Rattus norvegicus: one gene and its partners. The protein of the gene in region 1 interacts with the protein of each later gene in a pairwise test. Links are inferred from orthologs where the notes say so. Each region holds a gene or a part of one and is shown in the gene's direction. Other genes may lie near its edges.

The links.
Region 2: the proteins of Ube2k (region 1) and Rnf41 interact in binary tests that used the Homo sapiens proteins (3 or more experiments, as listed by UniProt). The link is inferred for Rattus norvegicus from reciprocal best matches to the Homo sapiens genes UBE2K and RNF41.
Region 3: the proteins of Ube2k (region 1) and Rnf32 interact in binary tests that used the Homo sapiens proteins (3 or more experiments, as listed by UniProt). The link is inferred for Rattus norvegicus from reciprocal best matches to the Homo sapiens genes UBE2K and RNF32.
Region 4: the proteins of Ube2k (region 1) and Marchf3 interact in binary tests that used the Homo sapiens proteins (3 or more experiments, as listed by UniProt). The link is inferred for Rattus norvegicus from reciprocal best matches to the Homo sapiens genes UBE2K and MARCHF3.
Region 5: the proteins of Ube2k (region 1) and Dtx3l interact in binary tests that used the Homo sapiens proteins (3 or more experiments, as listed by UniProt). The link is inferred for Rattus norvegicus from reciprocal best matches to the Homo sapiens genes UBE2K and DTX3L.
Region 6: the proteins of Ube2k (region 1) and Rnf111 interact in binary tests that used the Homo sapiens proteins (3 or more experiments, as listed by UniProt). The link is inferred for Rattus norvegicus from reciprocal best matches to the Homo sapiens genes UBE2K and RNF111.
Region 7: the proteins of Ube2k (region 1) and Mid1 interact in binary tests that used the Homo sapiens proteins (3 or more experiments, as listed by UniProt). The link is inferred for Rattus norvegicus from reciprocal best matches to the Homo sapiens genes UBE2K and MID1.

Annotation. Positions count from the first base shown.
Region 1 is NC_086032.1:43,069,371-43,073,670, reverse strand, and holds the start of Ube2k (ubiquitin-conjugating enzyme E2 K), read left to right. Parts: upstream 1-1,500; 5' UTR 1,501-1,668; coding exon 1,669-1,731; intron 1,732-4,300. UniProt on the Homo sapiens protein: Accepts ubiquitin from the E1 complex and catalyzes its covalent attachment to other proteins. In vitro, in the presence or in the absence of BRCA1-BARD1 E3 ubiquitin-protein ligase complex, catalyzes the synthesis of 'Lys-48'-linked polyubiquitin chains.
Region 2 is NC_086025.1:1,443,254-1,446,753, forward strand, and holds part of Rnf41 (E3 ubiquitin-protein ligase NRDP1), read left to right. Parts: intron 1-1,219; coding exon 1,220-1,491; exon of another isoform or gene 1,492-1,518; intron 1,519-2,360; coding exon 2,361-2,496; intron 2,497-2,841; coding exon 2,842-2,945; intron 2,946-3,500. UniProt on the Homo sapiens protein: Acts as E3 ubiquitin-protein ligase and regulates the degradation of target proteins. Polyubiquitinates MYD88. Negatively regulates MYD88-dependent production of pro-inflammatory cytokines.
Region 3 is NC_086022.1:6,881,177-6,885,362, reverse strand, and holds the start of Rnf32 (RING finger protein 32), read left to right. Parts: upstream 1-1,386; 5' UTR 1,387-1,474; exon of another isoform or gene 1,475-1,936; 5' UTR 1,937-2,003; exon of another isoform or gene 2,004-2,310; intron 2,311-3,247; 5' UTR 3,248-3,322; coding exon 3,323-3,337; intron 3,338-3,889; coding exon 3,890-4,154; intron 4,155-4,186. UniProt on the Homo sapiens protein: May play a role in sperm formation.
Region 4 is NC_086036.1:52,475,798-52,479,297, reverse strand, and holds part of Marchf3 (E3 ubiquitin-protein ligase MARCHF3), read left to right. Parts: intron 1-626; 5' UTR 627-682; coding exon 683-870; intron 871-3,500. UniProt on the Homo sapiens protein: E3 ubiquitin-protein ligase which may be involved in endosomal trafficking. E3 ubiquitin ligases accept ubiquitin from an E2 ubiquitin-conjugating enzyme in the form of a thioester and then directly transfer the ubiquitin to targeted substrates.
Region 5 is NC_086029.1:78,318,913-78,323,138, forward strand, and holds the start of Dtx3l (E3 ubiquitin-protein ligase DTX3L), read left to right. Parts: upstream 1-1,426; coding exon 1,427-1,610; intron 1,611-3,544; coding exon 3,545-3,792; intron 3,793-4,226. Other genes in the region: protein mono-ADP-ribosyltransferase PARP9, read right to left, coding at 1,245-1,497.
Region 6 is NC_086026.1:80,058,185-80,062,462, reverse strand, and holds the start of Rnf111 (E3 ubiquitin-protein ligase Arkadia), read left to right. Parts: upstream 1-1,478; 5' UTR 1,479-1,781; intron 1,782-1,845; exon of another isoform or gene 1,846-1,916; coding exon of another isoform or gene 1,917-2,194; exon of another isoform or gene 2,195-2,297; intron 2,298-2,951; exon of another isoform or gene 2,952-2,975; intron 2,976-4,278. UniProt on the Homo sapiens protein: E3 ubiquitin-protein ligase. Required for mesoderm patterning during embryonic development. Acts as an enhancer of the transcriptional responses of the SMAD2/SMAD3 effectors, which are activated downstream of BMP.
Region 7 is NC_086039.1:27,796,421-27,799,920, reverse strand, and holds part of Mid1 (E3 ubiquitin-protein ligase Midline-1), read left to right. Parts: intron 1-1,273; 5' UTR 1,274-1,329; coding exon 1,330-1,989; intron 1,990-3,500. UniProt on the Homo sapiens protein: Has E3 ubiquitin ligase activity towards IGBP1, promoting its monoubiquitination, which results in deprotection of the catalytic subunit of protein phosphatase PP2A, and its subsequent degradation by polyubiquitination.

The DNA of each region.
Region 1 (4,300 bases):
ATACCTACAACATTTCTAGATTTATATCATAGCAAAAATCCTTTGTAGTGTTCAGTTGTTCAGTATATAGTTGACGGTCCTTATAACCACTAGAGGGCTCTGCTATAAGATCTTTTATAATTTATGTCTGTCTACTCAGGGAAAGGCTTTGAGATGTTTCAGAATTTTGAACTCTTAAGTTTAAACAACCTCCTCATTTCACAGACGAGGGAACCGCAGCTGGCAACGGATATAGGAGAGAAGTGGGAGCACTCTTAGACTGGTTTCTCTCGAACTCATGATCCTCCTGCTTCTGTCTCCCAATCTAGGATTACAAGCCTATACCACTACATTCAGCTCGTATTAGTCTTATGATGGAATACTGAACTGATTGATTAGGTGAATACATGAAACATACTCCTAAAATAATACCTTCATTATTTCACAATGTTATTTTCAAAAGTATTCCTCAGCATCTACATTCCGTTATTTGTTTTAAACTCTACTAACCACTTTCAAATAGCCTCTCAACGTTGTTGCTCAATTAAAACATTTTACTCGGTCATCTTTTCTCCACTCAATTATATTCACTCACTGCTTATTGACATCTACGAGCGCCAAAAACCTTTGTAGGTCTAAAGTTCTTTCGGCCTTCTATTTCTCCAACTGTCACTATAAATTATACAGACTTTCACATGCTTAATTCAGCCATTCTCACAGCGTGGTCGCTGAAAAACAGGCAGCAGGGAGTTTGCTCGCAATGCAAATTCTTAGCCCCATCCAGACTCTAGGGATAGGTCCTAGTAATCTAACCAGCTCTCCAGGGATTCCGAGGTGCGTTCAAGTTTGAAAAACATGTTAGTTCTACAGCTCAGCATTGACTATCTAAACAGGTCAAAGATTTAACTTCTGGCTTTTAAACTCATCACAGGCCTGTCCCCGGCAACACCTGTATCAATTACAACCCGTGGGACGCAACCATTACACAACCTTAAAAATCTGTAATACCTGAGATGACCGAATAATAGTTGCGTTATCATGGTTCCAGAACAAAAGCTACGGCAGTGGATATCCCGGGGGTTTACCAACGGACGCTGGGCAGGACCCAGTTCCTGCATAGTTTTTTCCTCCGCTAGACACAGGGAGGCACCTCTAGCCCGTGGGTTCTGGGTCTGGCCGAGTTAGAGCGAGGCTCAGCCCGGCTGGGGCCCCGGGAACCCGCCAGGCGGGGCTCCCACCTCGGGTCCGTGGCTAGGGACTGGAGGCCTCACCGTAAAGGGGGCCGAGGGGCAGGGGAGGACCCCGCAGGCCCAAACCCCGCGGACCGGCACAGAAACCGCACCCTCCTGGCCCCAGCCGCCGGCAGGGCGGAGCCACGCGGCCGAAGCCCCGGCTGAGACGCGCGGCGCGGGCTCGCTGCTGAGACGTATGGGGCTACCACTGGAGCGGCTGCGCCGCCCGCCCGGGTCAGCGTGGTGCGCATGCGCGGACCCGGCGCCATTTTGGTGGCCGGGCGCGGAGGTGATTCTACACTGAGGGGGAACGCGACGGCAAGGGTGGCAGTGGCAGCGTTCGTGTGCTCGGGTCTGAATCACTGAGGGAGGAGGCGGTGGAGGAAGAGGTGGCAGCGGTGGCGGTGGTCGTAGCGGTGGCGGAGGAGGCGGGTACGAATCAGCTGCGGGCAGAGACATGGCCAACATCGCGGTGCAGCGAATCAAGCGGGAGTTCAAGGAGGTGCTGAAGAGCGAGGAGGTCAGGAATGAGCTACCGGACACCCCCATCTCAGCCCAGGGCGGCAGGGCCCTTCCTTCCGCGACCCCGGCGGTCCCAGCCGGCCTCGCTGCGGCCGCCTTTCTGCCTATGGGGAAGCGGCGGTCTCCCCTCCTCCTCCCGCCGCCTTTCCCTCCCCTCCCCGGGCCCTGGGATAGGCGGTCTCGCGGGCGGCCGGCCGGCCTGGGGAGGAACAGGGTTTGGGGGGCAGATGCCGAAGCACTCGTCCCGGGCACGTGAGCTCTAGAGAGAGCCCCGAGGCGGCGGCAACAACATCTGGAAGTGTGACTGTACGGTGGGGAAGGAACAGGCCGAGAAAACCCGGGAAGTGGGTTGGGGGAAGGGGAAAGGTAGTAACTAGATCCCCGGCAGCAGCGCACCTCACAGGCCCACGCTTTCAGGGGTACTGGGGATATTGCCTGCCAGGCCTTTGCTGTCTTTTCCTTGGGGAAGGAGCCTTCACAGTCTTTAGGTATAGACGAGAAGACTTTCAGTTGCTCCCTTACGGTACAGTGCTGGGGGATCTATGGAGACATAATGGGCATTCTTGAATTGGGAAGGGGTGTTGAAACAATTTTCACTATAGATAAAAAAATAATTCCAAATTAGATAGTCATCTCTTTTCTACGTACCCAGCCAGTAAGTAACTAGGCCTCCTCACTGATATTTAAAGCTTTTTGTCTAGTCAAAGGCAAGTTGTTTGTTAATTAAATGATTTGAAATAGGAAGAATAATGGGAGTGTGTGAGTAGCTTATTTCAAAATACTGTTCACCCGTATCAGAGAGGCTCTCCTAGGGTAATGCCTCTGTGACTAGTGTTGTACTGTGAAACTTCATTATGATGTCCCTCATAGTTAACTTGAGTCTTACTTTTAAAAAGAGGCCTATTAAAACCAAGGGATTTCATCAGATACACATTGTTGTAGCTCATTATTGAGTTAGGTTTATTTTTCTGTCACAAAATATATCAGGAAATAGCATATTTAAAAAATAAAACTCTGACTGCCTGTAAGTCCTGCAAATTTTAAGCATATTAATGCTTACCAGATTTATTTATGTGAAATATTGAAAGTAATAATTTTACTCTGCTATAAAAGTGCTAAATCGACAAAAATGCCAGTTTTTCTATGATTGAACTTAACAATTCTGAAAGTAATTATTTTTTTCAAGGTTCACAGTTTTCCTATTATGCTTGCTTGGTACTCTGATAATGTCATTAATGATTTTTAAAATTCGTCATTTTAAGCATATGAGAAATTGTTAGAAATCTTGTAGCTCTCCAGCTTTATTGTGCCCCCAAGCTTGCAGACAATTATCCATCGTTCCAAGTAGACATGAAGAAAGTCACTTAAAATTGAAGTGACAATGTTAGCAGCGTTAGTGAGCATACTAAGAAATACGTAGGGATCTGTCTTACGTAGCATGAACTCTGACCTCTGTATTCATTTGCCAAAACTCTGAATGGAAGGATGACTTTGTATTTTTGTGAAACAATGCAGAAACAATATGAATGACAGTATTCACATTTTTAATGGTGATTTATTTAAACTTTTTCTTTAATAAGCAAACTTAGTTTGGGGTCGTTGTATATTCTTATGTTGTTAACAACCTACAACATGTATTCTATAATAAGGTTGTATGGGTCTTTAGACCTCTCATGCTTTCTTTTATCTAAAAGTGTCAAGTTACTGCCCTGAAAATTGATATACCCTCTTTGCTTTGTGTGGTCTGACTTTTCACCATGGCATTTGGTGTTTAAGTTGAAGATTATCGGCATTTGTATGACTCTAGTAGTACATATTATTACTATTCTACTATTTAACTGATGGGCTGAGTGGCCAGCTCCATTTACTGTTCTACTATTTAATTGATGGCTGAGGAGCCTGATGACCGAGTTCAGATTCAGACCCACATGCTAGAAGGTTTCTCTTTGACCTCTACACCCAAGTGTGCAAATCGGATAAAAGCTCCTCCTCTGGTTAAAAACATTGTCAATGGTTCTCAGGAAGGAAATAGGAAATATGAGTTCAAGAATGGTGCCTTAAAAACCTAGCAGGGAATTCAGTTCAAGGAAGTAAGTTGCAAAGAATATTTTGGAAAAGATCAGATAAAATTTAATATTGTAAAAAACCACAGCCAACAGTTAGCTTTATCCTCACCAGTATTTTATTTCATTTCCCTAGATAGGTTGTGTTGATTTCACCTGAGTGAAGAACCCATAGTGCAGTCTACATATTTCCCTTTTAAGTGCGTAAATATGAGCTTTTTTTTTTTTTTTTTCGGAGCTGGGGACCGAACCCAGGGCCTTGCGCTCGCTAGGCAAGCGCTCTACCGCTGAGCTAAATCCCCAACCCTAAATATGAGCTTTTGAGTAGTTGGTCAAGTCATTAATTCACCGTGTCATACAGGTTTAATTCATTTGGTAGTGTTTTGGTGGGTCTTACAACTTGATTTCCTTTTTGCCTGTTTTAAGTGCCTTTGTAAAGATAACTGACCTGTCAGAGCACACTTTGATCCCAGCACGGGAGAAGCAGAGGCAGGCAGATCTCTG
Region 2 (3,500 bases), on another chromosome or scaffold:
TGAAAGGTCATGACAGACCGCAGAGAGACGGAACTTGAGTCTTCACAGAGAAATCTCAACCTCTCACCACAGTTCCCCTTGCTTGTTGTTGGGTCTTTTTTCTTTCATTTAAAAAAAATACTTAAAGATTTTTATTTTTTTATACGTGTGGATAAGAAAGGGCTGGGGGATGAATATGCCGTGTGTACGTTCCTGGGGAGATCAGAAGGAACTGTTGGACTCTCTGAAACTGGTTAGAGATTGTTATGAGCTGCTGTGTGTGCTGGGAACTTAGCTTCAATCCTTGGAAAACTAGTAAGTGCTCTTAACTGCTGAGGGGTCTCTCCAGCCCCCAGTTGTTTGTTTGAGAGTTTGGAGGGACTGTTTGTTGAGACAAGGTCTTACTCTGTAGACCATGCTGCCATGGAACTTAAAGAAACGCGCCTGCCTTTGCCTCCCAAGTGCTGGGCTTAGAGGTGTGCACAGCAGGCCCGGATTGGTCTTCTTATACTCATTCAGCGTGCACACGTGCTCGTGAATACACACATAGTCTGTGGGACATATGGAGCTCAGCAGTCTGCAGCAGTCAGTTCTCTCCTACCACGGAGATCCGAGGGATCAGACTCACCTCATCCGGTTTGGTGGTGAGCACTCTTACCTGGGAGTCCCCTCTCCAGCTGCCTTTGTTTTCTGAGGCAGCTCTTGTCGTCTAGGGCAGGTGCTTACAAGACGACCTCCTCCTCAGCCTATGAACTGGGGACACCGACTTGCAGGGCCACATGCAGCCCTTGCTCTCTCTTACTTCTGTTGTGGTTAGTGAGGTTCTGCCCAGCTGTAAGCTGTGTCTGAGTCATTCTCGAAGCCCTGTGTGTAGAACACACCTATCTCCATATGGGTCTGCTGCGCTCACCCTTGCCTGCAGAGCTCATCTTCCTCTGGACTTACGTAGCAGTTATCATGTATGCGATCCTGCTGGCTGTTAGTGTTAGTGTTGTGTCCTCTTTTCCATTGACCTGGAGCGGACGGTGTGTCTCTTACTGTTACAGAACCTTTTGCTTGTTTGTCTTGTCTCAACTCATTTCTGCCCCTGAGCACAGGAAACAAGTCTTGTACCTGACCTGAAAACGCTCACCTGTCATTTACCGTGGGCCCCCAGAGTCTGGTTGCAGGCTTCACTGCCGGCCTCGTAACTCCTGGGTCCAGGGTCTCAGCTCTCGCTAACTCCCTGTGTCCCTTCTAGGCGCCTCATTGTGAGCATGCCTTCTGCAACGCCTGCATCACCCAATGGTTCTCTCAGCAGCAGACGTGTCCGGTAGACCGTAGCGTTGTCACGGTTGCCCACCTGCGCCCAGTGCCTCGGATCATGCGGAACATGTTGTCAAAGCTGCAGATTGCCTGTGACAACGCTGTGTTTGGCTGCAGTGCTGTTGTCAGGCTTGACAGCCTCATGTCCCACCTCAGTGACTGTGAGCACAACCCGAAGCGGCCTGTGACCTGCGAGCAGGGCTGCGGGTGAGACTCCTCCTTCCACTCATGCAGGCGAGCCTTCCCGCTGTCACTGCACTCCTGTAGGCAAGGGCCCCCCCGCCCCCGACCTCCTGGGCTCCGTGCCCGCCCGCCTGCCCACAGAGCTCCACTTTCCAACTGTGAAGAGGACAGCAGTCCAGTGAGCTCTGGTGGCACTGGACATTGAGGTGCTTTATTTTCTCTCCAGACCAATGTCCTCTGTCAGGCCAGGTCACCTATGCCAGTCTCTCACCTTCATGTTCCCTTGTGCCTGTTGCTGCCGGTGTGGTGAGGGGGGAAGTATTGAACACTGGTGCTCTGCGCAGTGGAGTAGGACTCCTCATGAAGGAGTGTGCGGTAGGATGCCCACAGAGCAGCCGGAGCGACACAGCAGCTCCCCTCCTAGTTCAGGCTGCCCCTAAGGGCACAGGAGGACAGTCTGTGGAGGGGGTAGGGCGTGTGCTGCTTACTCAGTTGGTGGAGAGCTTTCCTAGTATGCAGAGCTGGCTCTGTCTCGAGCACTGTGGGGCAATGGTGATGATCACACCCTTAGTCCCAGCACTGGAAGGTGGAGAAGGAGAGCAGAAACTCAACGTCATCCTTAGCACCAGCTGGAAGGTAGTCTGTGCTGAGCGAGACCTTGTCTCGAGGCGTTTATTGGCGGGCCCTCACAATGCTGTCGTGTGGGTGCCAGTTCTGTATAAGGGCAAGGAGCATGTTTGGAACAGGAAAGCGAAGAAAGGAAGGACTGGGAAGATTGTTAAGAGTGTGAGTCGCAGAAAGCCACTCAGCAGTTTTCTGTCACAGAATGAGCCATGAGCCTCTAATGTCCTGTTGAATAGTCTGTTCCGCTCTTGTCTCATTCTGAACTGCAGCCTGGAGATGCCCAAAGATGAGCTGCCAAACCACAATTGCATTAAGCACCTGCGCTCCGTGGTCCAGCAGCAGCAGACGCGCATCGCAGAGCTGGAGAAGACATCTGCTGAACACAAGCACCAGCTGGCAGAACAGGTGGGCCCAGGAAACGAGGGGGATGAGGGGACGTGTCCACCTTAGTAAATAACCTCCTGCCCACCCCAGATACCACCGTGAGCACCAGCCACAGCCTGTGTCCTGCTCTGTCCACAGTTCAGGAGAGAATCAGTTGGATCTGTCTTCCCTCACTCCCTTCATCCCATTCAACCATTCGGTCATCTGACATGTGGAGTGCCTTCTTCATGAAGCCATTTTGCTATGTCTTTCCCTGTCTTCCTGAAGACACTTACACAATACTGTTCCTCAGATCTCCCAGGCAGCTCATTCTCAGACCCGCTGATTGGCTTAAGCGTCCTCTTTGGTTCTGTTCCCACCCAACAGAAGCGAGACATTCAGTTGCTGAAGGCGTATATGCGAGCCATCCGCAGTGTCAACCCCAACCTTCAGAACCTGGAGGAGACAATCGAGTACAACGAGATCCTTGAGTGAGTTCCACTCAGGGTTAGAGTTAGAGGGAGGGCAGGGCCAGAGAGAAGAGCAAACCCTTAGCTCCAGTGCAGACTCGTTCATTGGGATGGATGGCAGGGAATCCTGCCTGAGGATGCAATTAGTCCAGAGTTAGCTGAGTGCCATCATGTACAAAGCATGTTCTAAGAGCTTTGGGGTCCTCAGGATCAAGTGGGGTAGCTTAGCACTCAGAGGAGAAGGGGCAGAGTGACGTCCAGGACAGTCTCCAAAACCCAGCAAACCAAGCAAGTAAACATGGGAAGTATAAGATTCTTTCCATTCGGAAGGCCTGTGTAGTGGGTACCAGACTGTGAGTGTGGAAGTGGAGAGGAGTGGGTCTGAGGGCCACAGTGTAGAAGACATTTCTTCATTCAGGATAGTCTAGTGGTTGCTGTGTGGTAGGCACCATGCATTGTTGGGATTTCAAAGGATAACAGTCTAGACTCGGGGATGGAGTATGGGTGAGTGACGTGAACAGCAGGCCCAACTAGAGAAGGATTTGGCTTTTCTGAGCCAATACTGGAAAGAAAGTC
Region 3 (4,186 bases), on another chromosome or scaffold:
TGGCCACATGTTCAGTCACAGAATAATGTCCTGGGCTACTGTTGGGGTAATTAATAGACATCCCAATGACAGGATGCAGCAAGGCCCCCTTGAAAACAACGTAAAGCTAGCTGCTAAAATTCAGACATCCAGAAAGTAAGTGTAGATTTAAACTCAGGTCTAGCTAAAGGTATCCAAAAACTTTTCCCTCTTAAACTTCAAATAAAAACCAGTCTTAAGACAGCAAAATGGTGGACTTAACTGCTCTCCTAAATACATCACTCACTAAAACATAAGCTAAGATTATACTATGTCTAGAAAGCACCTGAACCACCACGTGAAAATTCAGAACTTAAAACTCATTGTGAATTTGACTTTTAAAACAGTTGGCCTGCTTTTAATCTGCTTTTACAAGCTTCAAGTAGTAAGAGCCAATTCATAAAGTTCATTGCCAAGAAAAAAAAAAATCTGTAACTTTTAAGTGAGTTTAAAATTATATTGTTCCAGAGACTTATCGTGTATAACAGATTTAAATCGACTTTTGGGACTTTTTAGTGACAGAAAACCAATCTCACAGCTCAGTAACTTCTGCAGACTTTACTTCATGGAGGACCTTGCATTCTCGTGTTTTCTTTGCACTTCCAGGTGAATTGTATACAATTAAGATGCAGCAAAGTCACTGTCACGACAGGCAGAAGAAAATCAATACACTATTTCTGCTTGGCACCAAGAAGTGAGAGACTTTTAAAGGACCCCAGGGGTTCAAGCCTGGTTCATCGGACAGCGCGGGGGTGCATATTCAGAGGGGTAGGAGATGGCACAGAGTGCAGAAGGGCTAGGTACCCTGCAAGGTCAGTAGCCACAGGGGCAGCTCTCTCCACCCTCACCTTCAGAGAAGCCTTGCCTAGAGCTAGGAAGACCACTGGAAGGGGCGAACGTGAAAAGGCTTTCACCCGGCAACACAGAACAGGCCACGATTACCGGGAGCCATGGCAACCATCATGAGGAACTGTAGGAGGTCGAATGGCGACGCCACAGCGCTCGCAAAACAGTCGAAGGGGCAGCTATCAAATCTTCCGACTGAGGGGACGACTGAAAGCCCACTACAAACAGCCGCACGGGTCAGCGCATCCTCGGGTCACACAAACTGGCCAGGGCGCAGCGAAAAGACGCCAAACATCACACACCGAGGAAGAGGGGTAAGAGCCCGCGCACACCACACCACACGCCCAGGGCCCGCGCCTCAAGACAGCGTAACCGCACCAGCGTCCAGACGCTGACGACAAGTGACAGGCGGAGCCATGACGTAAAGCGCGGGTGCAGCAAGCCGCTCGCCGCCGGTGAAACTGAAGGGACGACTGCTCAGCCGAATGGGGGTCAGGGGTGGGGGACCTACGAGCATGCGCACTGAGGGTCAGGCGAAGCCGGCGCGCGTGCGCACTCCGAAGCGCACCGGCCGCTAGTTGCCGTGGCAACGAGGAGTGGATCTGAAAAGGTGCTTCGGAGAGAAGAGGAAGGGCCAGTGTGAGTTTGTCCTGCAGCGCTGTCCGACAGAAAAAAAGCTCTGGTTCATAGAGAGGGAGAGAGGGCCGAACGCGGGTAGTGTTGACGCGGAAGGTGCGGGTCGCTGTGGGCGGTCCGCGGATCCTTCCTATAAGGCACAAGGCTGTGATGTGGCGAGGGACCTCAAACCAAACTGGGAGAGTATTTTAAACTTAGATGCCGTCTCTCCAGTGCATTTCTATTGACGCATGTATTAATTGCCTTCTGATCACTGAAAGCAATCGGTGATTAAATGGCTTGTCGTCTAGTCCTGTGTTTTCCTACCTGGCACAACCTCCTAACCGTGTGCAAACTAATTACAGTCAGTTTGCTGTTGTGGCAATTAGCGTCAGGCAGAGGTTTATTTCTCACCTATTGCCAGTCCAACGGGTCACCATTATGTTTTCTCATACAGTTCGACTACATCTGGCATGTTTCGTTATTTTTTAAATCATACAATTTGCTAATGCTATGTGACTTTAGTGAGGCACAGTTTTAACGCTTTTTACCTTGACATTAGTCACAACGGCACAATACAAATCTGGTGAAATTGTAGACCAAAGAGCTACCTACTGGTTAACGATGGTATGAATCTTGTTAAAAAAAATAAACTATTTTTATGATGCATACTTGGTCATTGCCAAGTTAGAGGCATTTTGAATTTGGAAAATAATAACAGTGACCTTTCAGTAGTTTACATGCCTTCCTCCAGCCAAGGCTACTGTAAGAAATACTGCATACAAACTTCTTTCATAGATCTCCATGCCAGCAATGAAAAGGAGCAAGAAGGTGAGCACACTGAAAACTGTCCTAGGCTTCCAAAGGATCTGAACAGCACCTGGCTCTCTTCTTCCCATCTCACACATGAGTTCCTGTGGGACTCATTTTCCTGTAATTTTTTCAAGTGTCTGCTGCAGTGCTAGGGGTTGAACCCAGGGCCTAGTGTATGCCTGAAGGTGTATCAGCTGCTCTGTGAGCACCTTTCTGAAAGCTAGTCCCTCAATACTATTCCGTTAGGTTGCTTTTGAAAAGGTGCCTTTTCTCTCCACTGTAGAATATCATGGTCAGCATGGTCTGAAAACTAAAAAGGTCAATACCAAATACATCCCCCCATTTCTGAGGCAATTGGAGCAACAGTAACCATTTATGAGTATCTTGTGCAGAACAGTCCCTTGTAAGCCCTTAAAGAGGTTTCCTTTTGTATAATAATCCTCAAACCTCAGCATTTTTGTGTTTTTTATAAAACTGAGCTGCAGATCCTTAAGTAACTTACCATAGGTGGGACTCAGTGTCTGCCACCGATGTGCTGGCCAGGTTGAAGGAGCCAGCGTGCACCATATACCCACTTCTTCATTGTTGCCCTTCTTGCCAAACACAAGCACAGCTGCTTTGGTGGGCGTCTCTGCTCTTGCTCCTGCCATCTAACACACACATTTCTCTCTTTAAGACTTGGGCTAAATGTTATCTTGAAGGATTGTTCATTTACTTTTAGTGTCTCATTTTGTTCTAAGACTTTGTTCTAAGACTCCATTTTTGCTGCTAGATTGTTCTTTATAGTGGAATTCTTTCTAGCACCATGGTAAGCTGTTTGAGGACAGGGATGAATTGGGTTATGACTGTGTAGATTGGACAGGGTGGCTCATGCTCTGTGGCTGGCATCACTGTTACCATTTCCATAGCCCAAGTAGATCCAGATGTTTACACACACTCTTGCTTTCTGTTTCAGCAGAAAAAAATGGAAGTTATTGTAATGGGATGCTAAAGATTGTTGAAGCCTCACCACGGTGTTTCCTGATACAGCATGTTAAAAAATAAGGTATCCCATCCTCCTCAGAACTGACACATGTTTGTATTTGTGCGGTGTAGTCTAACTGGACCTTCTACAGGTATAAAAATAGTTTACAAACCTTGTGTTCCTGGGAAACTGTGAGCAGAAGTGGAAAGTGCATGTGATATGGGTAACAGACAGTCTCTGGGTGCTACCTGCATATGTCTCCTGCCTCAGGGACCTGGTCCTGTAGGGAATGTTTTTTAAGTTTTCAACAGAGATCTTTTACTTAAGAGCAAGATCTCCTTTTAGAGTTTGCCTGGAGTCTAATTTAGCCATAGCAAAGCAGTAGCATCTTATTTAGTCACACACAGGTTTGAATTTATTGGTTTATAATTAAGGCTCCAGTAATTAAATGAAAAGGTTTCCCTTTACTTCCATTGTAGATGTTGGGCCTGGAGTTTGCTCTGATTAAATATTGCCCTGGCATTCCTTCCCACTGACTTGGTAATCTGCCATCAAGGAGCAACAAGGCCTGAGTTTTCTTCTAAATGATGTTACATGCTGTTCCACTAAATAAGCACCGCCCCCCTTTTTTAGGATCGTTCATCTAAAAAAAGTAACTTAGCAGTCTCTGCAGTTGCCTTACAAGACCACATATTACGTGATCTTCAACTTGGACATCTCTCAGTAGCAGATCCTTGTAAGACAAAAGTGCAAAAGAAAGAGAACAAATCACAATCTCTCAGAAAAGGCTCGGCAGCCATGATGGACACTGGACTTAGAAAGACTGCAGAGGGGCCTAAAGGGGAAGATCCAGAGAAGGAATATGTTCTAGACCCCACACCACCACCGTTAACTTTAGGTAAGCTAACCTGGTCTCTTTTCCTTTGGCTT
Region 4 (3,500 bases), on another chromosome or scaffold:
GTGGCTTGCAAGGTAGAGTGTTTTATTACAGGACACAGATGTGGCAGAGCTTGAAAAGTGATTGAATGACCACGCTTGGCAAATGATGCCTCAGAATGTACAAGTTAGCCAAAATCTTTGCTTTTCCTTCCCTTTTCTTCTCCCTGGTTTTTAATCTCAATATCTCTGAATAAAACTGCATAGAGAAAAAATTGCTTACAAGAAAAAAATAGTTACGAGCAGTTTTAATAATGATTCTAGTAACTTTTAGAGAATGTCAACAAAGACTTATTGCATCTCTGGGGCAGAGCGGGAGGATTGCTTATCTCCTCTTCAGATCTGGGCTTCGGAGCGATCACTCTGTTCCTCCCAGAAAGCTGGGCTCCTGAATGTGTGTATATATACACATACGCTTGCTGTCTTGTTCATAAGCAGGTGTTCATAACTCTTGTGGCCTATGTGTCTGTGAGTGGGTGTGTGCAAATGTATGTGAGTACGCTCGTGTTAAATAGTAACAAGATGAAAATGCTACATCTAAGCTACCCTCATATTTATATTAAATAATGACATGCTGATGTCGGTAGCCCATAATTCTCCATTTTCCATTAACCATCCCGCCAAGTTAACTGTTTTCTGATCTCTCTTAGATGGAAGTCCTCTATGAGTGTGGAAGCCATTAACAGAGTAATTGCTGTCTGTTGCCATGACAACCAGTCGCTGCAGTCACCTGCCCGAAGTCTTGCCAGACTGCACCAGCTCAGCTGCGCCTGTGGTGAAGACGGTGGAGGACTGTGGCAGCCTAGTGAATGGGCAGCCACAGTATGTCATGCAAGTTTCAGCCAAGGACGGGCAGCTGCTGTCAACAGTAGTGCGGACTCTTGCCACCCAGAGGTAGTGCCACGGTTAAAAACGAATGAATCTACAATTGATCCAAAGAGCTGTTTGTCAGGTGGAGAATGCTAATGGGAGTGTAATTAGTGCTCAGGTCTTTGTGTCAGGAAAGAGAGGTGTTGGGGAAAAAATAATTTTAAAAAGACTACCCAAGTTCTGTTGCTGCTGTGTCCACAGCAGCAGGAGCATACAGCTAAAATTCATGTTGTCACGTTCCTCCTGAAGCCGCTATAGAGAGCAGGCAGGGAAGAGCCACAAGACGTGGGCCTGCTTTGCATTCGTCATTTTGACACTGTTGTGGCTTGTTTTGTCCTCGGATCTCCAGCAGCTCACAACGCTAGCCCTTTGTTAGGACAAAATGAAGACGTCGTCGTCTGATTTCAGGTGACGGAGTCAAAGCAATTTGTGGGATAGAGCTAAGGCCTTGAGTAGCCCAGGCTAGCCCCAAACCCACTTTGCAGCCGAGAATGGCTTTGAAGGCCGGATCCTGCGTCCGGCCCTTGCATACTGGGATTAGAGGCATGTGCCACCATGCCTGGTTCTGTAGCTAAAACTTGTGAAGTAACATCGCAGTGTGCATGCCGGTTATCGCTACCCAGTGGCTATGCTGTCTGGGCTGATCTCTGAGTGAGTCTCCTTTTGCTGTTCTGCAGCCCCTCCTTCACACTCTGCAACCCCATCCCTGCCTCTTCATGCACACTCCAGCCTGGGAACTACTGCTCTTTCAACTGGTTTCCCTATGTGCAGAAGAGGGAGGGCTCTGGACAGCCTGGAGGCCACTGATTCAGGCCAGCTCCTTGACCCTGCTGTTGTCCGTGGCGTATTAGGAGCTATAGGCTGCCAAGATAATGGAGGTACCACGTAGTCTCCAATTTTCTTTCAGAAAGAAAAAAAATCTTATATTTTCCTGGTACCCATACCAGGCCGTTCACAGCCTCCTATAATTCCAGTTCCAGGGAGGCTGACACTTCTGACCTCCTTAGGCAAGTACTCGTGTACACACACACACACACACACACACACACACACACACACACACACACTGTTAAAAATAATAAAATCAATCTTTAAAATGTGTGTCTGTCATAGAAAGCAAGGAAAGTATGTAATGTATATTTCCCACTTCTTGGAGAATTTCTAGCAATTGGTTAGGGCTCAGAACATAAAGAGGAGGTGAATGTCATTGGCCCTCTGTGTACACCAGCCATCCTAGGAGGCTCAATCAGTCACCTTATTTGATCAAGAATGGAAGGCTGTTTGATGTAACTGAGAGCGCTCTCTCTCTCTCTCTCTCTCTCTCTCTCTCTCTCTCTCTCTCTCTGTATGTGTGTGTGTGTCTGTGTGTGTGTGTCTGTGTGTGTAAGTGACTGACTGTGACTGTGTGTCTGCGTCTGTGTCTATGTGACTGACTGTGTGTAACTGTGTGTGTGTGGTGTGTGCCTCTCTTTCACCTACTCCTAGACCACACAGCACTGCACACCAAAGGCTACAATTTTTCCTGCCTATGACTCCAAATGAACAAAGGAGGCCAAAGGACAAAAGCCAGCTGCCACCTTTTTTCTCACCTTCCTCTCCCCAGAGCATGTAGGGTCTCCTGGGCTAGAGAAAGGACAATCCTGCCTGTCTCTAGCTTTCATTTACTCTCAGGGACATTCCAAGAGAAGCCTGTGTTTCTGTGGTTGGCTCCATTTGGATCAAAGATAGCATTAAAAAGTAATGGGGCATGGACGCAGGTTAGCATCATCTCTGGAGAACGTGGGAGAAAGAGAGCAGAGAGTGTGAAAAGAGACTAGGTTATCAAAGGAATGACAGCATTCTTTTAAAATGTCATTCATAGAGGGAGCTGGCCCCTCTCGTTGAAAAAGGAGGCTATCTTAATTTGATGTTTCCTTTAAGCGTACATGGTGAGGGATATGCTACTTGGTTTTCCTTGGCCCGAGTCATTCTGCAAGTGACAGTAGCTAGCATTAACAAGGCTTGGCTGTCTGCCAGTCCTCTATATGTAAGTCTCTGCTCTAGACCAACTTTTTTACACCCTCGCAATCACAATACAGAAGGCTCCACTTCTGAGCCCATTTTAGAGATCAGGAGACTAAAGTATGGGGAGATGAAGTTACTTCTTCAAAGCTTACAGACAAACCCCAGAGCTTGGGTTTGAGCCCAGGCAGCCAGATTGCAGAGCTGGGGGCCACTCACCATGCCAAGTTCTCTTCAAGAAATGTGAGCGAGTGGCTTTTCCACACTTGAATGCAGAACTCTAGACAGAGGCCACCTCACTAGACAACTTTACCACTTGCCTTCAGTATAGTGTCTTCAGCGTCCCAGAGAGTATCCTCCTCAAGCTCCAAGGACCAGCCACACCTCAGCATTGTGCCCCAGTCTACTCTGCCTCAGAGTCTGTGACCATTTTATTCCCCTGTTCTTGCTCTCCTGCAGAACTGAAGAGAAATGACAGGGACCTTGCCTGCACCTCCTTCTGACTCAAAATATGCAGTTTATCTAGATACTACAATTGATGTCATTTCAAAAGAGTTTGTTTTGGGGACTAAAATGATGACTCAAATGTTTAAAACACTCATTGCTCTCACAGAGAACACAGTTTCAGTTCCCAGCAACCTCATGGTGGCTTA
Region 5 (4,226 bases), on another chromosome or scaffold:
AGGAAAGTGCTGAGACCAGGAAAAACGTCGAAAGAACGGCCTTCTCAACAGTGGTGCTCCCCCACAGCGTCTCGGAAGACAGAAGAAACTGCTTGAACCTGCACGGGGTGCGTTCCCCTGAATCTGTTAGAAACAGCTCTGACCTAAGGGTGTCTGGATGAAAACCTGAAGCTCTGGGAAATTTTACTTTTTCATGATTTTAGCCTAGTAAGCTAATACAACTAAAGATTATGAACTGTTAGACTCACGACTAAAACTTACAATATCGTTATCTAAAACCGTTGCTATCACTGAGTCTCTGGGCTGATCTATAATGTCTTTGCAATAGAAAAAACTGGGTATAGCATCAGAGTCCAGTTAGCCATGCACATTGAGGAGTAACTCGAATACCGAAACCGCCCGATCGGGATCCGCTGAGCCTCCAGAGGGCAGTGTTGCTTTCATAGAAGAAAGACCTCTAAGGTTCCTTGGAGGCTGCTCATGGGAGTCTGCTCTGGGGTGCACTTGTCTGTTTTGAGGAGAGCAGACAAAACTCAAAACTTCCGTTTTCCTGGTCCTTTTATATAGGCTGCTACCAGGAGGTGTGACCCAGGTTTAGGGTCGGTCTTCCGGTCTCAAATGACCCAATCAAGAAAATTGCCCCCAAGCACTATGCAGCTAGCTAGGGTTTTAGATGATTCTAGACGCAGTCAGAAGGACAACCAAGATTCCTCTTCCTCTCCCTGGCCCTGGAACTGAACCCTCTGGACTTCAGCTCTACCAGCCAAGGAAGGATACTTTCCTCCCCTCCCCCACCCCACCTTAAGATTCCGCTTGAAACCAGCGCTTTGACTTTTGCTTGGTTCACAGGTACTTATTGCTTCTGTGCTGAGTGCCTCTTTACCTCACTCTCTAGGAAGCAAGTAGATCTGTGCTATTCGCTGACTTAAGGCCCCAGAGCAGAAAATCCCTAAGGTGCCCATCTAAAGGGGAAAGAACTGGTGATAGGTCACCAAGCAGGTAAACTCCCTCCACTTGAAATCAGAATCGCATCTCAGTAAATACCAGTTCTAATACTCATATAACAAAATCATATAACAAAAGCACAAACAAGTGAAACTCTTTACCCTCTACTCCGCTCCACCCTTGGGAAGCCTGAGGCTGAGAACCCGGTTCCCGCCACTCTTCCGTTCCTTCAAGAAAAGAAGGCGACCTGCCACCACGGGGCCTCTAAGCGCCCACCGCCAAGTATGCGAACTACTCACCGGGTGATGGCCCTGGCCGACTGCAGAGCAAGAGAGGCGGCGGCTCTGCGGGGAACAGGGAGGGACCTCCCGGGAAACGAAACTGAAACTTTGCCTCTCGGGTCTCTGGGGCAGGACGCGCCTTCTCTCTGTCCTGGTTGTGCAGCACCCCTGAGCCCCAAGCGAGCCAGACGCAGCCAGCCATGGCCTCCAGTCCGGACCCGCCGTCCCCACTACTCGTAAGGCTGCCGGAGTCCATCCCCCGAGCGCACATGAAGCTGGAGATATATTTCCAGAGCCGGGCCTCCGGAGGCGGGGAGTGCTCTGTTCATCCCGTGGGGCCCGGCGCCCCGGACACCTTCGAGGTGAAGTTCCTTGAAAAAGCAGGTGAGCCGGGGCAGGGGAAATAAGGCTCGGGTGCAAAGGTGGATCCAACAGGTTTCCAAACCGACCCCTGCATGCTTCCGAGGAGAGTGTGGCTCTCTCTGCCTGTGGGAGAGTGCGGTCCACAGACTCCTCCATCGCTCAGTGGCAGATAGAGCCTCAGATGAGTCCACCCGCAGACGGTTGACTCCATCGGAGAATTTCCCAGCAGACCCAGTTAAGAAAAGAAACAAAGTGTGGGGGTTGGGACTGAGAAGGAAACCCAGAAGCTTGTGCGCACTAGGCAAGTGCTCCACCACGGGTCTGGACTCCAAGCCACTTTCCTGTTGTAAATAATGATCTCATCGATGTGTTTTTTAAGGATTACAAAAGTAACATACGACCACTTTAAAAAGGAAAGGCAAATGAAAACTTAATTGAAGATTGTTTGGTTTTGGTTGGTTTTAGAGACAGGGTTTCTCCCTGTATCCCTGGCTGTCCAAGAACTCGCTCTGTAGGCTGAACACAGAGATCCTCCTGCCTCTGCTGGGATTAAAGGCATGCGGTGCCCCACTAATGTCCCCAATGAAAGCATTTTCATGCATTCTTTTTCTGAGTCAGCTAATGCATATACGTTCTAGACTTTTGGATTCTTGGGTTTTTTTGGGGGGGTCCCCACTTAACTATGCAATAACTATTATTCAACGTCATTGAAATAAGAGACTCAAAACTATTACAAAACATAGGTTTCCCTCCCACCCCCACCCTTTGAGACAGGATCCTGCCGTGTACCACGGATTGGCTTTGAATTCATGATCTCCCCCCCCCACACACACACACACCGCTACCTCTACCATTTAAGTGCTAGGACTGTGGGTGTGTACCAGCATGCCCAGACTAGAAACGTGGTTTCTAATAACCAAGTTATATAATATGGTAAAACTTAAGCTCCCTACTTTGAAGTTCTGAATAGCTTCTCCCATCAACAGCCTGCTGTTCCAGAATATGCCAGAAATAACTGTTCACGTCCTCTGTGTGCATCTGACAAGGGGCCTACAACAGATACTGCAAAGGTCCAACTTGGTAAACCAATGTGTTTATTGGGGTTACTCACAGGAATATGGGAAATGACTCAAAGACAACTCTATCGCCAAAGCTGACCTAGCATGGGGGGCAGCTCAGGAAGCTGGGAACCTGGAGCTCACTGTAGAGCCTGCAAGCAGGCTCCTGAGCATATCCCTTCCAGGTGCCTCAGCTGGTGTAAACCTCCTCCAGGGAGCTTAGTGTCCACCTTCTGCAGGTAGCTTCTCTAGTGTCAAAGTTTTCTTCTCAGCTTGGCTTGTCCGAGAGTCTCCTATGCAGATCTTCATCGAAGCTCTGTTCTTGGAGTCTCAGGAGGACTCTTCCCAACAGTCTTTATTGCTTACTCTGTCAGGGAGGGGCCTATTCAATTTCGGGGATTTCCTAAAGCTATTTTGAGTTGTTTGCCTTCTTGCTTAAGGAACTTCTCTGCAGGGTAGAATGTTTCAATCTTGGGGAAATTTACGCAACAGTTCCACACTCTAGGGTTCACCCGTAGTGTTTAGCTTGCGTGAAGGATTAAAAATTCATCTAGAAATTCTTAAAAGTCTCTGTGGGCAGTGGTGGCACATGCCTTTAATTACAGCACTCTGGAGGCAGAGGCAGGCAGATCTCTGTGAGTTCAAGGCCAGCCTGATCTACACCGGGAGTTTCAGGGCAGCCAGGACTACCTGGTGTCTCAAAAACAAACAAACAAACACAAAAGCATAGGGGAGAGTATGCGTAGCTTATGTGAAAGCCCTAAGCTTGTTAGGGATATCGCTGAAGGTGGTGTCCTCGGACATTTCTGGAATCAACCTAGAGGGACCCTGAGGGTCATTTCTGTAAATCCTCTCTCATTGCTGTGTGAATGTATGTGTTTAATGTCTCCCCTCAAGATAAGGAGAATGTGTTGAAAAGGGGAAAACACAAGCTGTTGGTTGATGACAAATCTGTGCCTATTGTCCTGGAAACTATTAAAAAGCCAGAAGAGGACCTGAGACCCAGACCTCCATCACTGACACAGCCAGCTGAGACACCAAGCTCCCGACCTCCGTCCTTGACAGAGTCCCTGGATGAAGCACTGGGTGATAAGATACCCAGTGATGGGCCCGTTTTTAACTCTGTTGACTCAGTTGTCCAAAAGGTGAGTGCTGACAGAGGAGCTGGGCTGCTCTGGGGTCTGCTTCCCCTCGGGGTATTCAGGCAGTGTTGTGCACAGGTAAGAATGAAGCTTAGTTGGAACAGGTAGATTATCAGGATCTCAGTCAGCCTGAGTTAGGGAGAAACAGCCTTCTCTGGACATGGGTTTCAGTGAGACATCCTTCTTGTTACACTGGAGAAGGGTGAACAAGGCTATATAAACCTGAGAAAGTAGGTAGGAGTTTGGGGGGGGTGAGTGTCTTCTTTTTATTTTATTTATTTGCTTATTTTTGTTTTTGTTTATGTTTTTTTTTCAAGACAAGGTTTCTGTATATAGTCCTGGCTGTCCTGGTCACTCTGTAGACCAGCGTGGCCTCAAACTCAGAGATTACCTGCCTCTGCCTCCTGAGTGCTGAGATTAAAGGCCTATGCTACCAC
Region 6 (4,278 bases), on another chromosome or scaffold:
CCTTGATAGCCTATTAACCCAAACAAGTAGAAATATTACTTTAACATACAATCAATAGTAAAAAGTATTGGGCTTTTCACATTTGTGTACTATAGTTCTGAAAGTTGATGTAGTTATTGCTTTATTTCAAGTGTTAAAAAGTCATATGTGGCAAGTCTCTCCACATTCTTATTAAAGAATGCAGGTCAAAAGATTCAGGAAAACAACAACAACAACAACAACAACAACAACAACAACAACAACAACAACAACAAAAGAGGGACAGATACAGAGTTTTGAGACATCATGAGTCAGTAACAAGTCCCGGGCGTCCATAGTCTCAGTCTACTTGTAGAGGGCAGCAATTAGGGACGCTAAGGAAATCTGAATCCACTATCTTCCATTTCCTCGTCGTTTATAATTTAAAAATACTCCCAGCACTTGGAAGGCAGAAACAGGTGGATCTCTTTTGAGGTCAGCCTGGTCTCCAAGAGTGAGTTCCAGGACAGCCAGGCTATTGCATTAATTCAGGTGCAAGCGCTCTCTCTCTCTCTCTCTCTCTCTCTCTCTCTCTCTCTCTCTCTCTCTCTCTCTCTCTCTCTCTCTCTCCAAACCAAAAGAACGACCTTCTTCACTAAATATGGAGAACATGAGTGAAGAAAACTATCAAGGAGCTGATGTATAGGGAAAGGATTAATGCTTGTTAAGTACTTAATTGGTAATATAAGGTACTTTATGTAAATCGTCGTATTTGACCTCACAAGGTCATTTTGAAGCATATACCGCTATCTTGGTTTATAAAGAAGGAAAATGAGATTTGTAAAGGTGTGAATAAGTTAGCTTGGGCACCCTCACTCTGCTTTCTCACCGGAAGGCTGTCTGACTGCAGAGCCCATGCTTTGTCCTTACGTCTTTCTAGGGCACATAATAAAACATTGCAATTTTGTGTGTGTGTGTGTGTGTGTGTGTGTGTGTGTGTGTGTGTGAGAGAGAGAGAGAGAGAGAGAGAGAGAGAGATAATTAGACGTCTTCTGCAATTGTATAGCCAGAGGTCCCAGGCTACCTAATACTACGCTTGAAATGATTCTGGAAATTAACTTGAATTCACTTTCAACAATGAGATGAGATCTCTGTTTTGGGTATCATCTGCTGAGAAAAACACTAACCCATGTTTTTGGTTTAACAGCACGACAAGTGCAGTCAGTAAGCTGAAATAATTTTTAGTTAGAGAAAAAGTAACCAGGATGTAGGCGGAATTATGTCGAAGTACTGTTGAGTTCGAAATCACGGAAGAAAGTGAACGCAATCAGCTTATTTTTAACTTCGTTCCACTGGGCCAACAGTTCGCGAAAGCCAATGCAAAGAGGAAGGACTGGGACGCAGTGGGGCGGGCAGGGGCGGCCGCAGGTTCGCGCATGCGCAGACATGCTGCTGTGAGAGGGCGTGAGGGTTCGACGCGCTCGCTTTCCGAACTGTCGTAAAAGGCCCCCGGTGTCGCGCTCGCGCAGTCGGGGAGGGCCGGCCCAGGCTGCGGCGGCGGCGGCGATGGTAGCGGGGCGCTGGGGCTGCGCGGCGTAGAGACGCCGGCCGTTCAGGGTCGCGAGCGCGCGTGGGCCGCGATCGGGTGCTCCGAGCCGGGTCGAGCCGAGCCGGGCGCAGCCTCACATTCCGCGGCGGCGGCGTTGTCAAACGCCCTCCTGAGGACAGCCACCCGGCCCGCCTCAGCGTCACCCGGCCGAGCGCTGTTCGCCAGCCCGCGCCAGCGAGTCCCGGACCTGGCCGCACGGGGCCTGCGGACTCGGGTGAGGGAGCCGGCGGAAGAGGGGGTGCGGGGGAGGGGAGCGGCGCGGCGGCGCTTGCGCGCGGCGGGGGAGGGGCCGAGCAGTAGGGAGAAAGAGGAAGGGCCGCGGCGGGCGGCCGGGGTCGGCGACAGGGGGATGACCGCTGGTCTCGGGTGGCGCGGAGTGGCTCATTGTGTCCCGGCGACAGTCCGCCCGCGGACACACCCACAGCCTCTTGGGAGGGAGTGGGTGAGGGGATTGCTCCCTGTGGCCGCCGCTCGCCAGCAGGACGGGGGCTCAGGGCCGAGGAGTGGGGGTGACAATGGAGTGAGGAAGGTAACCCCGGCCGGAGCCGGGAGCCGCCCGGTGCGGGCGGGCACGCGCAGTCCGCGGAGCAGAAGACAGGCGCGTCTGATATTGTGTGGAGTTGGCTGGTTAGTCATTAAAAAAAGATGTTTTCTTTATCCTGCCTAGATAATTGATCGGAGTCAGCAGTGGTGCGGTGGAAATATCGGGTTTTGTTCTGGAGAAATAGAGGTTTGTCGCCACACTTCCTAGATTATAGAGCTTTATAGATAATGTTTTAAAACAAGTGTGAGTTTTTAGGGTCAAAAAAAAAAAAAAAGAATACCAGGAAGTCATAGCGTCTTCATTTAATTTGCTCGTGTCTGTAGTGTGGGCTTGACTCCATTGTATTGTTGAGAGCTTTCCTGTTCCTTGATTTATGTACAGAGTGAGTTTAGAACTCCTGAGTAGCAGTGAGAGAGCCAGCTGACAGACTTCATTGTAAGAGTTCTGAAAGCTCTTGAACCTGCCTTGATCCAAACTTTATTTCGTTTGGCGTGTTATCTTTAATTTTCTTGTTTTGGGGGACCTCTTTAACCAAAAAGAGCAGAATCGGATAAAAGATGAACAGAGGTTCCATATCCTTAACATTTGTCTTTGCAATAACTATCATGCGATTCTGACTTTATATAGATATTCTTTCCATAATTCTGATTTTACTTAGCTTTATCAGGATGAATCTACATTAAAAAAAAAAAACCAAACAAACCCAAAAATTCTTTGTATGTGTATATGTATGGGTCCTTACATGTGAGTGCAGGTGCCTCTGAGGACAGAAGAGGATCTACTACTCTGGAGCTGGAGTTAAGGAAGGTTTTGCACTGCCCTGTGTAGGTGCTGAGACCCGAAGTTGAGTCCTCTGCCAGAATAGTAAGCACTCTTGACTGCAGACCATTTCTCCAGGTCTGGATTTACATTTTGTTAGTTTGTTACTAAGTGGGTTTTTTTTTCTTTTAGTAAAAATGTTTATGTAGAAACTGGTAACTGTAATATTGTGTTACATTGTGACATAGGTTATAAGGAAGCTCTTCTAATTTGAAGAGAAACAAATAATTTAGCTTTAAATATTACTTTTGTAACAGGAGTGCTGGGTGTGAAGGCTCAAGTTGCCTTTAATCCTGATATTTGGGAGGTAGAGGCTAGACCCTATTTTAAATACCTACCCCCAAATTATGTATATTACGTTTGATACTCTCTTAGGGTGTGGCCATGGACAAATCATTTCATTGTATCCTGTTTGCTTGTAACCTAAGATTCCCTGTAGCATTTGAAAAAATTACGGAGGACATTTGTGAGTTGGCTGAATGATATTGGGGAAAACTAGGGAGGATAGTTTTTTCTTAATGGTCAGGGTTGAGTGTCCTATGTGTGTTTTCTTTTGTTATCTTTCCATCTTGGTCTCAGTGTATTGGTCACTTGTATCCCAGATGTTTCAGTAGAAATAGTTTCACTAGAAATAGTCAGTCTTCAGCTCTGACTTGCTCAGCCTCCTGAGGAGCTGGGACTGAAGGTTTCTGTCATTGTACTTGGGTCTAGAGACTGTACTTGAAGAAAGCTATAATAAACATAATTAGGTTTAATGAAGAATGTGTGCTAGCTGGGGTTATATTGAGCACGTTGTTTGTTTGTTTGTTTGTTTGTTTGTTTTGGTGCTTCGTATTTGTGAGGTACTGAGACGTGGTTCTACTGTGTTCTAAGAGAACAGCAGTTTACTTGCATAAAGCCAAGGAGCAGCACATTTTTCAGCAGGTACATCTGAGTACATTTTTTTTTTCAAGTTGAAAATATGAAATAGAAAACTCATTGTATCAAAACATTTAGAGCTTTAGGGGCTGGGTATTTAGCTCAGTGGTAGAGCGCTTGCCTAGGAAGAGCAAGGCCCTGGGTTCGGTTCCCAGCTCCGAAAAAAAGAACCAAAAAAAAAAAAAAACATTTAGAGCTTTAAGTGTTAGAAATGCCATGGTAATAAAGGGCCCGTGGTATTGTGCATTAAGTATAGCTTAGGTATATGTGCCCCTGCCTTTACCCCAACCCCAAGGACTGGGACCTTAATACAGGGAAATAGACTGACAGGACAAACAAATTAACATTAAGATTTCTTAGATTTGTATAGGTGTAGTGTGGTTGCTGTACATTGGATCTATGAGTTTATTGTTAACCTTTCCTGAGGTTA
Region 7 (3,500 bases), on another chromosome or scaffold:
GGGCTGCTGCTAATATGCCAGGCAGAATTCTACAGTCCTCTCTACTAATGGCCTGGAAAGGGAGAAGGTTCAAAAGAGGCTTAGTTCCCAGGCCTGCTAATGAGCATGAGGCCTCTTCACCCTAATGAACTGGTGCTTGTGTGGGATTCTTTATCATCTCCTTTTGAAGGGAAGGCAGGCAGGAGTTCACAAAGCAACGAGGTATTTATGGGAAAGGAAACGTTCAGCTGGGCCACCCGAAGGTGGCCTGGAGGGGAGCAACAGAGCTGGCAGAGGTCATGACTGGGCCAGCAGGGTTGTGAGTGTGAGACAAAACCTCTTGCCAGCCAGACCTGTTGCTGGCAACAGTGACCAGCCTGAGATAAGATATTTTGGGCCAAATGGGGTTGCACTGGGGTTATTGTTACAACTTATCAAATGTATGTGATAATATTACTTATCAGCGTTTCAGCCTTCAGAAAGGCTACCACATAGTTTTCTAATTTCTGTCTGCATCCCAAATCCCACTTCTGGATTAATCAATACACGAGCAATGAGCATATGCCAAAAATATTGCCTCTACCATGAGCGTCTTGTGAAAAATCCATAGGTTTTATCCTCAAGAATGTCTTGAGCAATGATGTTCTGAATCTAAACATGATTTTTTCTTCTGAAATGTATGCATTTCAGTTCATATATGCTTCATGTTCATCTCTATAACAAGTACATCTGTACAATTGAAAATCCTGCCCTGCCGTTACAAACTGATAGTCTTTGAAAATACGTATACATTAATATTCACGCTCACAAATTCAGAGTTGTGAATGACATTATTTCATTAACAAGTTTTTGCATTTTAATGAAAGGGAAAATTTGTTCGTGATGTAAGATTACTCTGATCGTACGCCAATTATAGAGGCTGCAGTTTCAGTCACTTACTAGATTAGAGTTAGACCTTTTAAAGCCCAAAGCTGTAAAAACTATAAACAAACAGCAATAAACATTACAAAAAGAAAGCTGCCACTTTCAACAATCAGAAATTTGAGAAAATGATAGGCTCCTGTTTTATTTTGTTTTGTTTTTTCTGTTTGTTTTGTTTTGTTTTGTTTTTATCATTTGCCCCCAATAAAGACAGATGTTTGGAACATACACATAATTTCCCTTCCATGACCTGTGTTTGGAATTACTATGAGATGCATTTGAAGCTGACAGCCCCAGTCCCCTCCACCCCCACCCCCCCCACCCCTGCCCGCTGACCCCTCATGCTTAATCCAATCTTACATTCTGTTTCCAGATAGCTGATCAGCTTCCTTGGATTTTGCTGATGACCCCGGAGAGTTTTGCCTGAAGATGGAAACACTGGAGTCGGAGCTGACCTGTCCTATTTGTCTGGAGCTTTTTGAGGACCCTCTCCTGCTTCCCTGTGCACATAGCCTCTGTTTCAACTGTGCCCACCGCATCCTGGTCTCTCACTGTGCCACCAACGAGCCTGTGGAGTCCATCAACGCCTTCCAGTGCCCCACCTGCCGGCATGTCATCACGCTCAGCCAGCGAGGTCTAGACGGGCTCAAGCGCAACGTCACCTTACAAAACATCATTGACAGGTTTCAGAAAGCATCCGTGAGTGGGCCCAATTCTCCCAGTGAGACCCGCAGGGAGCGGGCCTTTGACGCCAACACCATGTCTTCTGCCGAGAAAGTTCTCTGCCAGTTCTGTGACCAGGATCCTGCCCAGGATGCTGTGAAGACCTGTGTTACTTGCGAAGTGTCCTACTGTGATGAGTGCCTGAAAGCCACTCATCCGAATAAGAAGCCCTTTACAGGCCATCGTCTGATTGAGCCAATCCCGGACTCGCATATCCGGGGGCTAATGTGCTTGGAGCATGAGGATGAGAAGGTGAATATGTACTGTGTGACCGATGACCAGTTAATCTGTGCCTTGTGTAAACTGGTTGGGCGGCACCGCGATCATCAGGTGGCAGCTTTGAGTGAGCGCTATGACAAATTGAAGGTTAGTCCGATCCGCCTTAAGCCAACCCCTTTCTGCCAGCAAATGTCATGGAAATAAGAAGTGTATTCACTGCTAGCTACATGGCAGGTGAAGGATTTCTCTTCACCTTTGTTGTCTGATTAGTTGTAGCATGTTTTTGGCAGGATATAAATGTTACACAATGAGGGTATCTTGTAAAAGTTGACTGCTGCTTGTAATTTTAGTGTTGTCAAGGTGAGGGCAAATTCTAAAATCTGGATCATTTTCAACTCTTACTGTTTTCTGGATCATTTTCAATGTCTGCAGTTGTTACAAAGAGAGGAGATAGAGACAGCATGGGGCAGGAGAAGGAACGGTGAGAAAAAGAGAAAAAGGAATATAAAAAAATCTATCATTTGAGCATTTACAGACATTTATTTTCTTCACTCTTGCAGGAAAAAGTAATTTACTCACATTGGACCTTTATCTAGTTACTATACAAACAAAAGACCAGAAAGAAGAATGTGTGTAGCAAATGTCTGTACCAAATGTGGGATTTTAGAGGACATGTGACCTCCTTGTGTAAATGATATTCAGCTTATTGGTGAACTATCATGTTCTGACAGTCTCGGGTTTCATGAAAGCATTCCTGCCTGTATAAGCTTCTTTTATTCAGCCAGTTTACAGGCAAGACTGTCTGAATTCCATCCACTTCTAGTATGAAATTATCCAAATTACAGCTTGGGGAATAGTAATTAACATGGTTATATGTTAAGTTAAAAAAATACTCTCTAAATAAGGTTAGAAAGCTGCAGGGAAGAAATAAAAAAAAGTCTCCTGATGTCTATTCAACTTCGGTTGACAGTGGGCCTAATTATTGCAAACATGACTGAGAGAGTTTGTGTGAAGTATTATGTTCATCAGCTAATTTTTAGATCACAAGACACTAATTAAAAGAAAAAGAGGTATAAGTTAAAAGTGCTAAGTAAATATATACTGAAGTCCCTCCTCTCAGGAAAAACAGAGCAACTTGTTGAACAAACAAAATTAATCAGATGATCCAAAGAGTATCATTGCTCAAAGAATAACATCACCTTTAACAAACGGTTCCTATTGCCTTCTCCTAATGCTAATGACTGCTTATATTTACTTAGGCTACATAGGTGATTTCACCATGGTGAAGATTAACGAACCACATCTGGGATTCAGCGTTGTGATTGTTTGACACAATGAGGGAACTTGACATGCTAAGGGAAATCCCTGCTTCTAAATGTGATGAGGGAAGCGAACGCAGTACACGCACAGATCCTTCACTTCAAATGTCCAAGGAACGAGTGGCTGCAATCCATCTTTTTACCATATAGGGAAGTTTGCCACAAGAATGTAGGTAACACAGTCAAGGGAGGATAGGCACACATTACATTTTCCTGCATTGCCCAGCGGTAGAGAAAAGTACCACCAACGTGTTTGACAGGGAAAAGGAGTGTGCAGGAAATTACAACAAAGTCAATCGTTCAAAATTCCAGATAGCTGTTAGCTTGTGTAATCTGAGA